Linked DNA regions of Diceros bicornis minor. The protein of the gene in region 2 purifies or fractionates together with the protein of the main gene of each other region. This does not show direct contact. Links are inferred from orthologs where the notes say so. Each region holds a gene or a part of one and is shown on either strand. Other genes may lie near its edges.

Region 1 (4,163 bases), on a different chromosome or scaffold from region 2:
GAGAAATAAACATTAAAATGCCAAAATCTTCCATTATTTTGGATGGTAAGCCAGCACTGACACAAAAAGCTGGATTGTGTTGAAGACCAGTTAAGAGCAGAGGCAGGGCTGGAAGCCAGAGCCCTGGCCTCAACTCTGTTCAACTTGCTTCTACATAACCATCCTCTTCCAGAGGAGTGGCTCTGATAGATCTGCTGAGCGAAATTTGTGGAAGGTGACACCGCATCAAATGAGTTGTAACAAGCCTGTATAAATTTCTAGTCATGCCATTTCAAGCCAGTAACATGCATACCACGTGTGCCTCAACCAAAAAAAAAAAAAATAGCCTGAATAGAGAGCGGTCAAGTGGATTGCCCAGGATTTCTTTAACTTAGAGAGACAAAGTAAAAAGGGGAAGTGGGGAACGGGTGAAAAGACTAAATAATTAGAGCAAAGGTTCTTAAGTTTTTTGGGTCACAGATCCTTTTGAAAAATGGATGAAAACTATGGACTCTCTTCTCAGAAAAACATACACATAGACAAAAATTTTATAAATAATTCCAGATACCAAAGTCTTTCCATGGATCCTAGGTCTGGAACCAAGGATTCAGGAGTCAGATTTCTATTCAACATAAGAAAGAACTTCAAACAGAGCTACTTCTGGGAGCAGGTAGTTCTTCGTCCCTGGAAGAGTTCAAGCAAAAGCTAGATGAGAAATTGGCAGATATGCTATAAAAGGGATTAAAATACTGGAGGGAGCTGGCTTTCCAACCTTAAGATACCATGATTCTAATATGGGCTCAATCAACTCCATCACTGAACACTCTCTGGTGCTGTCCCTGTATTAAGTGCTGTGGTGAGATACCAAAACCAGAGGAGACGTGGAACGTGCCTCTAAAAAACATGTGGAATATATAAATATGTAAAATATGCTTAAATCTACAAAGCAAGTGCTTTACAAGTTACAGAGCTTTCACTTCCTTTATCCAATTCACTCTTCATAACAAGAAATACAAAGGAGGGGGGAAACACTTAACACGTTAAGGGCTAATAACAATAATAAAGATATATAATTGAATGCTTACTACCTTCCAGACACCTTGAATCAATTAGCAAACAATTTCTGAGCATCCACTATGTGCCAGGCACTCAGTTACGCACAATGAAAAAAGCCAAACAGGATCCCTATCCAGATACATCAATTCATTTAACCAATCCTATAAACTGTTTATTTTTGTCTCAGATTTAGAGTTGAGGAAATTCAAGCTCAGAGAGGTTAAGTAAGTAACTCACCATCACACGGTAAATAAGAGGCAGAGACCAGATTTAACTCAGGAGCACTGAAACTCAAATCTATGCTCTTCTCCATTGCAGCTTGGTGCCAAGGCCACCACAACTTCAAAACTACAGCTTTCGTGGATCCTTCCACAATGTCAGCTTTTCACCATGGGGATATCTCAAGGCCCCAAGCACTGTAGATGACACTGATGACAGCAGGACGAACAAGGCCTTATACTTACTTTAACTTCTCTCAAGTCCCCTTACTTGACTCTCAAAATCAGCCTTACGAGTCTGTGGGACAGATACCATAATCCCCAAGTTTACAAAACTGACGAACAAAACGAGAACTCGATCTTGCCCACAGCCACAAACTGAAATAATCACAGAGCAGGGAGCAAAACCAAGCAACTGATTCTTAGGTAACACAGCAAAGTGTATTCGCTCTTGACTAAACCTAGCAGGAATCCAGGGATCACCACTAATATAAATGGAAACTGATATGCCTTGCTAAAAACAAAGTAGCCACAAAAATGTGTTATTTAAGTGAAATAATTCAATGAAATGAAAGGCTAGTGCTGAGCCTGAGTCCTGATCTCTTTGTTTAAAAGAGAGATGCACAACTGTTAGGAGTTAGGACACATTAGGGAGGAGTTAGGACAAACCAGCGCTAGGCTTCCAGAGTCTAATTAGAAGAAACCAAAGAGAATGTAAAGGAGACTACCTGCTTCGCTAAGTGATTAAATAAATGTTATTTGATGCAGGGTCCACCCAAAATCACGTCTGGTGTCACTTTGGGAAATCTCAACCAACATACTACGAGAGTTTACATAATGCTTAGCAGATAGCAAGCCCTCAGGAAGGATTAGTTGTCATTGTCGTTCTCATTGTTGAGAATAACTGTTTTTCTCGAGGTCAGTGTTATGGTTGTGGCTGAACCGCAGAATACCCGGTTCCATACGACGGCCAACTTCAACTCACGTAAGGGACCGAGGCCTGTCCCTGTTACTTCTCAGGGGAGGAAACTGAGGCGCAGAGCCACGCAGTCGGCAAGCGGCAGAGCAGAGCCGGGTACCCTGGCCCAGCTCCCTGCTCGCGCCTCCTCCCTTCTCCTCCTCAAGGCGGGGCAGGCCTCCCGCGGACACCCGGGCGCCCCCAACCTCCCCGAAGCACTCACTTTCATGACTGCCAGGCCTGGAGGCCACCGAGGCTCAACTACGGAGTCCATGGTCTCTCCTACGGAGGCTGGGGGTCCGCCAACCACTGGCCTCTCGCGCTCCACTGCCACTCGAAATTCCCCGCGCTACTGAGCTACGTCAGTATTCCGCGACGCGCCAAAACCGTGCGCAGAGCCTGCCGGGAGTTGTAGTACGTGGGCGGAGCTCAGCCAAAGATGCTCTCACTGCGCACGCGCTAGGCTGCTGCTTGGCAGCTTGCGACAGGAGGTGAGTAGTTAAAAAGCCCACATCCGGTTTTGTACCAGACCTTTAATAAATAAATGCCTGTTGAATATTGGAAAAGACAACCGGGAATCAAACTAAATCCAGGCCTTGCCAAATCTTTCAAAGTCTAGACTCATGCCTCCTTCTTCGAGTCACCCTCCCTGATTGCTCTAGTGATCTATCCTTGCCCTGAGCAGGGGATTTCATACATGTTATTTCATCTCACCCATCACAGCACGAGGAGGTAGGTATTATTGTTAGTTTACACAGGAGGAAGCTTCGGCTCAAAAACGCGAATAGGCTGTCATTGCGTCACGCGGTGTCACTGACCAGACTACAAATAGGGCCTCGAGACTTCATATGGGAGCTCTTTTATGAATTTAAAATTTTAACTTCAAAGGTTAAAGGTAAGGTGGTTAGAGATAACCACCTTAACTTTGTGTAGCCTTCCAGATATTTCCTATTCAGATACATAGATACGATTTTTTCCACAAATGTTATTATATTAAATGCATAGCTCTATCAACTTGAGTTTTTCTGTTTATTTAATCGTACATCTTGAGACCTCTCCATGTTAATACATATAGGTTTACCTCATTCTTTTTAATAGCTGCATGGTCCATAGTATAGATGTAACACAATTTCTTTATCTACTCCCGTACTGAGGAACATTTAGGTTGTTTTCAGTTTTTCACTATTGCAAAGAGTTGCATTGAACACACTATATAAATCTTGGCATACTTGAGCCTGGATATCTGGGAGATGATTTCCTATAAATGGAACTACTAAGTATATTTGGATGCTCTATTAAAACTGTGATAGCTAGCACTACATGATTTTTCCAAAAAGGCCATACCAATACATTTACGTTCTTACCAAGAGTGCCCATTGTCCAAATGTGAAGCACTGACCAGCGCACCACCCAGCGTGTCTGCTCAATTCAGCACTCGTCCACTGCCCTAGGTGGGCCTCCATTGCATCAGGTCTCATGGGCAGCAAGTCAGCAGTCATGTTGCTCAGGGCAGACCCCTGCAGCTTGCCACTGCCCCCTCATGTGGTCCATGCACTCATTCATTCAACAAATATTTTTCTAAGTGCTTCCATTGGGCAGGCACTCGAGCTTCCCTGTGAAGTCGGCAGAGGTAAGGTTATTATTGCCATTTTACAGACAAGGACACTGAGGCTCAGAGAGGTTAAGTCTTCCATCCTTTGGGCTGTCATCATAAGGAACCTCTGGCCTCTGAGCCAGAGCTGTACTCTACTGATTTTTCCCAGCCTGTGCCCAAATACTCAGTGGGCAATAATAATAATCTTAGCAGCATTTGGACAAAGGACTTTAATATCCATTAAAACAATAGCTGACATTTGTTAGACACTTGTATGCAAAGCACTGTTATAGGTGTTTTTACACATATACACTTACTTCAGATTCACTCCAACCAAATGGGAAAAGGGAAGGAAACA
Region 2 (4,163 bases):
TCTAGGGGAGAGAGGCTCCTGGGGCCAGGAAGTCCTGGCAGGAGAGGACACCCCTTTCCTAAATGAGGTTGAAAGGAAGCACTTATGGAGTTCCCAGAAAATTTCCTTAAGGACAGCAGAGCAGCACAGGAATGTGCTCCCCCCTAACAGGGTGCAGAGTGTATATAGCCAAGCCCTCCCCAGAGCAGATCCGACTCTACACCCCCTCCCTCCCAGGAAAGGCCCCCGGCTGGAGTCTGGCCATCAGGCCTCACTCCTGGCTCTTTCAAGGAGCAAGGAAGTACCCAGGTCCCCTGAAACACAAGGTGAGGTTAGGAAAGGCCACTGTCCTCTACCTCTGCACCCCCTACTCTCAAGGAGCAACGTCCTTGTTTTAAAAGTTTTGACTTCCAGAGGCTTTCAAAAATCATGATCTCTTGGCTGATTTCTGGTCAGAGAAGCCAAATTCCCTCACAATCCATCAGGCACATCCAAAAGGCCCAGGCGTGTGCCCAAAGGCCTGAAAGTGACTATTCTTTTTATGCTTCATGGGGAAGAAGCTCACCCTCACCTGGTGCCAGCCGGCTAGGTGCCAGGCCACACATATTCGTGACAGTTTTCATCCTGTCAACGTCTGTAAAAACAAGGCTCGCTGAGGCTTGGCACGGTTAAGTGACTGAGCCAAGGTCATGCAGCAAGAAATCAGCAAGGCCCAATTCAAAGCTATACCTGATGTCTGGAAAGACACTAAAACATAATAAACTATGTTTGAGGAAAAAGACGATGAGGCCAGACAGAGAAGTTTTTTCCTCTTATTTTATAATTCCTAAATGTTTCATTTTCCCTGCTATGGGCTCTATTAACTTTTTATTTTTTAAACAAACAGGGGTCATCTGGGATTATAGGCCTTTTTTTCCTTTTAATGCAATTGTGTATTAAAAAGTTACTAAGTTATTAAAATTATATTAATCTGCCGTCGAAGGGGATACTCCATTGCCTCAAAAAACACTAGGGATGCAGAATGACCTCAGACCCTGGAAACACTATCTAGTGGGCCCCAAAGAGATCGGCCCAGTCTAACCAGAAAACAGGAGTGAGCCCTGGTCAGAGCCCCCGGAGCTGGGTCTGAGTCCTGACTGCCATAAGTGAGCACTGTGGGCAAGAAAACCAAATCCGAATTCCCCGTCCATAAAATAAAGAAGTTGGACCATATCTCCCAGGACCCTTCCCACGCCTCAGCTCACACAGACCCAGACTGTCTTCCTCAAGAGCCACTTCTGACCTTGGCTTTCCCTGTGCTGGGCCACAGCTCTTCTACACTGCTGCCCTGTTCTTCCCACCTGGGGCTCTTCTACACTGCTGCCCTGTTCTTCCCACCTGGGGCTTCTCGTCTCCCTGACACACTCATTCCCTCCCAGTTCCCCTCCTCTGCAGCCTGACAGAACCTTCAGTCAAAAACTCTGCAGAGGGTCCCTAGAGCCCAGGTTAAGCTGTCCTGCATCTGGCACATGGATTCCCATGGGAAGGGGCGCTGAGTCTCGGCCCCGCCCACCTCACCCAAAGCTCACCTGTCTCAGATGAGAGCCTCAGGGGGCCACACCACAGCTCCCCTGGTTACAGTCAATTCTCCCCACAGCCAAAGCTCAGTGTGTCCACCAACGGTCCAGCAGGAGCAAACCAAGAGCAGACTTTGCACACTTTCTTGGCAAGACAGAATTTTCTACTCCTCGCCAAGTCCCAACGTACCACAACGCAACTCCGCCCCTGTTGTCGTGGAAAATAGACTGGGGTCTCCGTACCGTCCCCTAAGGTGTCCGAAGCCGCCCGAGGCGGAGAAAGGACCCGAGACCGAAGTCCCTCCCGCGGGCTTCCTGCGTCCGAGGATTAGGAGGCACAAAAGGCCGCCAGGGAGAGGGCCCAGATGGCAGGGGCAGGGACTAAGCCGCCGAGGTAACGCGCTCCGGCCACTGCTCGCTGAGAGAGGGCCACTGGAGACGTGCGTCGCCGGCCTCCCCGGCCAGGCGCCTTGCACTTGGGGCCCGCGGCCCAGGGACCGCGTCTCCGCTCGCAGTGACCCCGGTAACCAGCCGGGCCGAGCACCTGTTTCCCTGCTCCCCAAAGCCAACACTGTTGTTCAAACGCGAACTCCTAATTCTGTAAACACGGGCGGATCGGGCAGAGAAAAGTTTCCAGCTGCACTTTGCACAGGTGTCTTTCTCCCAGACGAGAGGAGCGACGGATCCAGGGCGGCGGGCTGACCTGGGCGCAGCCCTCCCCGACAGACCCGGGGAAGCCGGGAGTCCTGGCCCTCTCCTGCCTCTCCGCCCCCAGTGGCGGGCGTCCTGAAGGGCGGGCCCGGCTAGATGGGTCCCGGCCCGCGCCTCACCTGGAACCCCAGGCCGGCCCCCGCCCGAGGCCTCGGCGTCCCTCGGCGCCCGCCGCCGGCTCCGCTCACTCAGCCGCCGGCCCACGGGCTGCTGGGCGGCTGTCTCCTTCCTGCTCACCTCCGGCGCGGCGAACGGGGGCGGAGCCGCCGCTATTTACATAAAGGGCGAGCCGGCTGGAGCCGCGGAACCCCGCGCGCCAGCCCCAGGGGCCCGCCTCCGGCCCCGCCCCGGCCGCGCCCCCCGCAGCCCTACGCAGACCGGGCGGGGGCGCAGCGGGGGCGCAGCTAGGGCGCGCTCGGGGGGCGAGGGCCGCGCTCGGGCCAATCCGCGGCCCTGAGGAGCGCGGGGGCGGGACCGCGGCCCGCGTGAATATGCACGAGGCGCTGCCGCCCCGCCCCCGGCCTCACCTGCGCGCACCTGGTCGCAGTACCGCGCGCCGCGCCCAGTGTCCCGCCGCCTCCCGGATAAGTAAATAGTTCCCGGAACGCGCGGGGTCCGGGGCCACCTCCCAGGCCGACTGCAGAGGGGAGCCGTCCCTCCCACAACCCGGCCCCGAGCTGCTGAGGGAGGGGCATAGCCCGGCTGGCTTTTCCTGAGCGCACTCAACCCAATTAGAGAGGGTAACAGGCAGACACAGGGCTAGGTTTCGGGACCCAAGAGCCAGAGGTGGCATGGGGACGAGCGCGTCGCCCGAAGGCGCCTCCCATCGCAGCGAGCCCCAAGCCTGGAATCCCCGCCGCCGACTTGCTGCTGAGGCAGGCAGGCGCCCGAGGCCCCGAGGGACAGCAACAGCGACCGGAGTTTTTAGAACAAGGGAGAGGGTTGGAGCGACGAGAGGCGGGAGCGGAAGGCGCGCGGAAACCCGGCCCGAGGCCGGGGGCGTGAATGGCGCGCTCCACCTCACAGCTCCAAGCGACTAAGATTCAAGCCACATCGACCTGGCCCCTCTCAGACGCTCTTCTACTCGGACCCGGCTGCGTTCAAGGAAGGTCCGATGGAGCGCCGGCTCGCCTCCTCGGACTGCCCTTCAGAAAGCCAAGCTGACTAGAGGTCTGACTTCCCATCCCCTCCGGCGCAGGCCCTGAGAAAAGTACCGAATTTCGTCCCCGCCCTCCCGCGACCTTCTTTTAGGTCCCAAACCGAGACAGCAGCGCTCTCTGTGGGTGAGCAAAGCAAGGGTGAGGGCTTAGGGGTCAGTTCCACGGACAACCGGATGGGGGGGGGGAAGGTCCTGCACTCCCCGAGTGGGGCTGGGGAACTTGTTCACTGTATCCAGCCAGCAGAAAAAGCATCTATTTTTTAATGGCTTTGGCTTTATTGTATGAAGCAGGCACCCTCTCATTTAAAGGCACAGAGTCCTCTCTTCTGCCCCACCTCTCTGGGTCTCTGAAATCTAGTCCTGGGTTCCAGAAGGATCACTGCAAGGCAGCAATCTCAGGCCTGGGGCTTGGAAGCACTGCAGCAGCCAGGTGTGGGGCACAGCTTCACTCTCCTGCAAGCATCTGACACCCAGGGCCACGGCCCAGACTAGCCCCTGCAGGTACAGGTCAGAGTCTCGGTGAAGGAGGCAGCTGAGATGGTCCCTGAGAGTAGACAGTCCAGGTCCCCCAGAGCAAGCCCCAGGCCCTGCCAGGGCTGGGTGGTCAGTGCTCCAGATCCCTGGGTAGTGTGAAGTCCCTGAAGCTGTAGAAGGAGATGTCTCCGTGATCCACCAGGGCAAAGATCAGAGGAACATCCCCACTCTGGTAGGACAACCGCTTGAGGGTGCAGAGGTCTGGGGCTGGCTCATCAAACCTG
Region 3 (4,163 bases), on a different chromosome or scaffold from region 2:
ACTTGCCCAGGGAAAATATAAACTTACAATAGACTAAAACAATAATATCAATGATAATTCATTTTAGTATCAATGAAAAACTATTAATAAAAAATGTAAAAGGTGCAGTCATCTTGTTATACACAAAACAATGAAGGTGCATTAATCAATTTACTATGTTTGAAAGTGAGTGCTTTAAGTGGTATGCAGAATTTACAGCCTGCCCTATAGTGACACAACAGTTACCACTTAGTGAATAATAGTACGGGACAGACATTTGGCTAAGTAATTCACTACGTTATTCTGAATTTTCACAACCAACCTTCCCCTTTTTTACAAATGAGGAAATGGGCTCAGAGAGGGCCCCAAAACCAACCAAGTGTTACTCGGTAGAAAAGGGTTTCAAGCATCAAATCCCAACTCTGTGGACAAACCTGTGAGATCTCGGTCAAGTTATTTAACTTCTCCAAATCTCAATTTCCTTTTCCGTAAAATGGAAATGGTTCTTGTGAGGGTAAAATGATAATACTGTTCATACAGTGGAATAATATAAAGCCCTACAAAAAAATACATAGAATGTCTTTCTTCTAAAGCATGGCTGCCAAGGTATTTAGGGGTATGATGTTTCTGCATCTTATTTCCCAACGGTTCCACAAAATAAAGAAATATACACCACATTTATAAATAGAAAAAAATATGACAAAATAGTAACAACTGTTGAATCTGGATGGATAAACAAGTGTCATTTTACTATTCTTTCAACTTTTTAGTATGTTTGAAAATTTTCATAACAAAAAGAGAAAAAAATTAAGAAACATTTCCTTTCCTAATTTGAACCAACTCTCAAATATATTGTCAAATGAGAAAAGCAAAGTGTGTGTGTGAGAGAGAGTGTGTGTGTCCCTAGAATAAAATATCCCTGGAAGAATACACAAGGAAAGGATAATATCTATCATGTGTTAAGTAATTGACTTTCTGAGGGTTAAAGATAAGAGAAAGATTTTTCTCTGTATGTTATTACCCCAGCTCTACAATTTTTCCACTATTTTGTAACCTTTCGTAACTTTTTAAACCATAAAATCTGTCCTCTTCTAATACACAATACTGAATGGCATTCAACAGAAACTATCCCAAAGCCTAAAATAAAGTCCACATTAAGGACAGATTCCTGCAAGGTTACAATCCTGAAACAAACATCTGAAAGCGTTCTTCCTTATTTTAAAAAAACAAAAAAATGGGGGAAAAAAATCCAAGTTTGGAACTTCAAATAAAATTTATCCAATAATTAGCATGACATATAAGATCATGTGTAACAATTGTCTATTCCTGTCCATGACCATCTCCTTTACAAAAACAATGTAAGAAAACTGGTAATAAATCAACTTCAGTCACTTCAAACTAACAAGTGGTTCATTCTACCAGACTCCTCCTCTATTAAATTTAACAACTGTACAACAGAAAGAACAGCAGAACACTGCTCAGCAACCACTCAAGAGATTTTGAGCATAAAATGATCTCCTTTATATTCCCCAAATTCTGTATCTATTATCTCAATATCCACAAATATATTACCGCTGGAAAGCGCATAAGGTAAAACTGCTATATAGAAAACCCAAATCTCGACAGCAACAAGCAGAAAAATACCAAACGAATTCCTAAAGAGTCTAAATATACAAGCTTATATAAACCTTAAAGGTAAACTCCAGTAAACTGGAGAAAGAAAATTACAGAATGACACTGTCAATGAACCTCACTCTGTATATTAACAAAGCGTTTAGAACAGGAACATGCTGCTAATATAAATTAATAATTAAAGCACGTAGACTAATTAAAAGACATCATTGAAAAGACAGAGTAAGGAAAAACTGAGGCCAACATGACGTGAACAAGGACGAGTCATTTGGGACTCAAAAAGAACTACTACAAACACTCCAAAACCACTTCAACAAATGTGAAACCCGAGCGCTAACACTGCAATAAGAGGAAGTGACACGGACAGCATCTAGGAAGAGAAGAGCCAGTTAAGCAAATGCCTCTGACACCACAGTTAAAAACAACTATAAAACCCCCAGAAATAGGCTCCCGGGAAGCTTGGTGGGCACTTGGAAGGTTTGGCTCCACGCTGCAAGCCCCGCACACCTCTCTCCACCCCTCCGCTCCACCCTCGGTGTGACAGAACTGGGCGGAAAGCTCCGCCCCCCTAACCCGGGTCCGAGAGCCGGGCCACGCAAGGGGAGGTGGCACGAGGCCGAGGGAGGGGAGAGCCCGCCCAGGTGACTGGAGCTGGAGGCGGAGACAGTCTGGGAAGGGGCCCGCCGTACGGCAAGGAAGATGGAGCCCCCCAGCTCGTACGGAACCGAGACTGGGAGGATTGGGAAGAAAAAGGTGACGAGGGGAATAAGAGGCGCCCTTCCTCCTGGTAGGGGTGGCACAGTCCTGCCCCCCACTCCGAGCAGAAGAGTTACTCTCGGAAAGCTGCTTTCGCGGACTGGAGGAAGAACGTGGAGGCCCCGCCCCCAAGCCAAGAATCTGGAGGAGGAAAAGTCCTGTCAGGCCCCGGGCCCAGCCTCCCCAGCGGGCCGGCCCGCCCCCTCCCCGCCGGCGGCCCAGGCAGGTGCCGCCCCTCCCCCAGCCCGGCGCCCACTCTCCCGCCCGCACCGCCACGCGCCTTATCTCCTCGCGCCCCTCCCAGAGAGCCGTCTCCTTCCTTTCCCCACTCACCTTCCCGGGCGGCTCCGCCGCTCCCCCCTGACCCCGCCAGTGGCCACAGTTCACACACACCGCCTCAGGTCCCGCACTCACTCTCCCTCACTCACACACAGCGCGACCACGGCTCCGGAACGGCCCACATATTATGCGTCACTCGCGTGCTACGTGCCCCGCCCCCCCCCGCGCGCGCGCGCGCGCGCCCCGAGTTGGCGCGGGGCTTGCTGGCAGGAGGCAGGAGGAGAACGCCAGCGCCAACGGAGGAATATCGACGAGCCCCGGGGCCGCCGGGAAATGAAGTTCCGCTTCTAGGGGCAGGGCCCACTAATCTTGATTTGCGCGTAAGCACTTCGCCCTCGCGCATTGACTTCTGGAATTTGTAGTTTTTAGCATAAACACCAACTGCTGTGTACTCATTGGCTGCTTCGGTAGGCGGCAGCGAAAAGTGAGGCACTCAATGCTCCCAAGCCAGGGCTGTTAGGGCTTGATACCTTGTCAGTACCTTTTCTGCCCTGTGTGACAGGGGGGAGTCCTTGTTGTATTCTCTCGTTTGCCCCATTATACCTAGAACATACCAGGATGTAAGAAAATATTTCTGGCAAGCATATCAGAAATCATAGCACTCATTAAATACAAGGCACTGGTTTTCTTTGTCTTTCTGTTCAAGACCTAGCCTGTAGGATCAACAAATATTTATCCTAGGTAAGGAAAAAAAATCAAAAGGACATAGAGTAAGGCAGGGCTGACCTCAGAGGTCATCTAATTCGTTTATTTTGCAGCTGGGAAAAATGAGGCCCAGAGAGACTGAGTGACTTGCCTAGCATCACACAACCAATTAGCTTGGGAGCAGAACCAGAACTATCCCTGACTCTGACTCAGGGATCCCTTTTTAGGGACATGAAAGATAAATGTGACTCCACAGCTTAACAGAATCTCTCCCTCACAACATGCTACCCAGCTTTTGTCTCCCTGGGAGTCCTGAGCAAGTTTCTGTGCATTTCTATGGAGTCCTCACAGCCAACACTTTCATGGGGGAACACAGGACACAGCAAGCCTGCTGCCATGCTCAGGTTCTGTAACTAGTAAGAAGTTAGCCAGAGCCTAGAAGCTTGATTCCATTCCCCACTGGACTCCATTCCCCTTCTTTCCAGAAAACAGACCTCTCTCCTTCACTTAAGTGTGTAACTTGGAGCAGGTGTTCAGGCACAAAATTCTAGAATGTGGAGTGGCAGCACTGCAGACATGTCACCTCTCTGCAACCCTTTCACCCACCACAACACACAGCTCTCTTCTCTGTGCTTCTGGAACTTTGCCTATATCAATAATTGTCACTACCATTTTCTTTAACCTTACAGCAGGCTCAGCTCTGAGCCAAGTTTTTTACCCACACTTTTTCATATAACCCTCACTACCACTCCACAGGGTAGATTTGGTTAGCCACATGTACAGATGAGAAATTTAAGCCCAGAGAGGTGACC

The links.
Region 1: the proteins of LLGL2 (region 2) and RAD18 purify together in Homo sapiens (affinity purification with mass spectrometry; 3 studies listed by BioGRID and IntAct, counting the BioPlex papers as one, with this or other methods). This does not show direct contact. The link is inferred for Diceros bicornis minor from reciprocal best matches to the Homo sapiens genes LLGL2 and RAD18.
Region 3: the proteins of LLGL2 (region 2) and DCAF1 purify together in Homo sapiens (co-immunoprecipitation; 3 studies listed by BioGRID and IntAct, counting the BioPlex papers as one, with this or other methods). This does not show direct contact. The link is inferred for Diceros bicornis minor from reciprocal best matches to the Homo sapiens genes LLGL2 and DCAF1.

The regions. Positions count from the first base shown.
Region 1 is NC_080741.1:71,259,362-71,263,524, reverse strand, and holds the start of RAD18 (E3 ubiquitin-protein ligase RAD18), read right to left. Parts: upstream 2,557-4,163; 5' UTR 2,486-2,556; coding exon 2,435-2,485; intron 1-2,434. UniProt on the Homo sapiens protein: E3 ubiquitin-protein ligase involved in postreplication repair of UV-damaged DNA. Postreplication repair functions in gap-filling of a daughter strand on replication of damaged DNA.
Region 2 is NC_080757.1:55,973,196-55,977,358, reverse strand, and holds the start of LLGL2 (LLGL scribble cell polarity complex component 2), read right to left. Parts: upstream 2,470-4,163; 5' UTR 2,366-2,469; intron 2,339-2,365; exon of another isoform or gene 1,548-2,338; intron 1-1,547. Other genes in the region: TSEN54 (tRNA-splicing endonuclease subunit Sen54), read right to left, coding at 4,010-4,160. UniProt on the Homo sapiens protein: Part of a complex with GPSM2/LGN, PRKCI/aPKC and PARD6B/Par-6, which may ensure the correct organization and orientation of bipolar spindles for normal cell division.
Region 3 is NC_080741.1:52,255,159-52,259,321, forward strand, and holds the start of DCAF1 (DDB1- and CUL4-associated factor 1), read right to left. Parts: upstream 2,870-4,163; 5' UTR 2,701-2,869; intron 1-2,700. UniProt on the Homo sapiens protein: Acts both as a substrate recognition component of E3 ubiquitin-protein ligase complexes and as an atypical serine/threonine-protein kinase, playing key roles in various processes such as cell cycle, telomerase regulation and histone modification.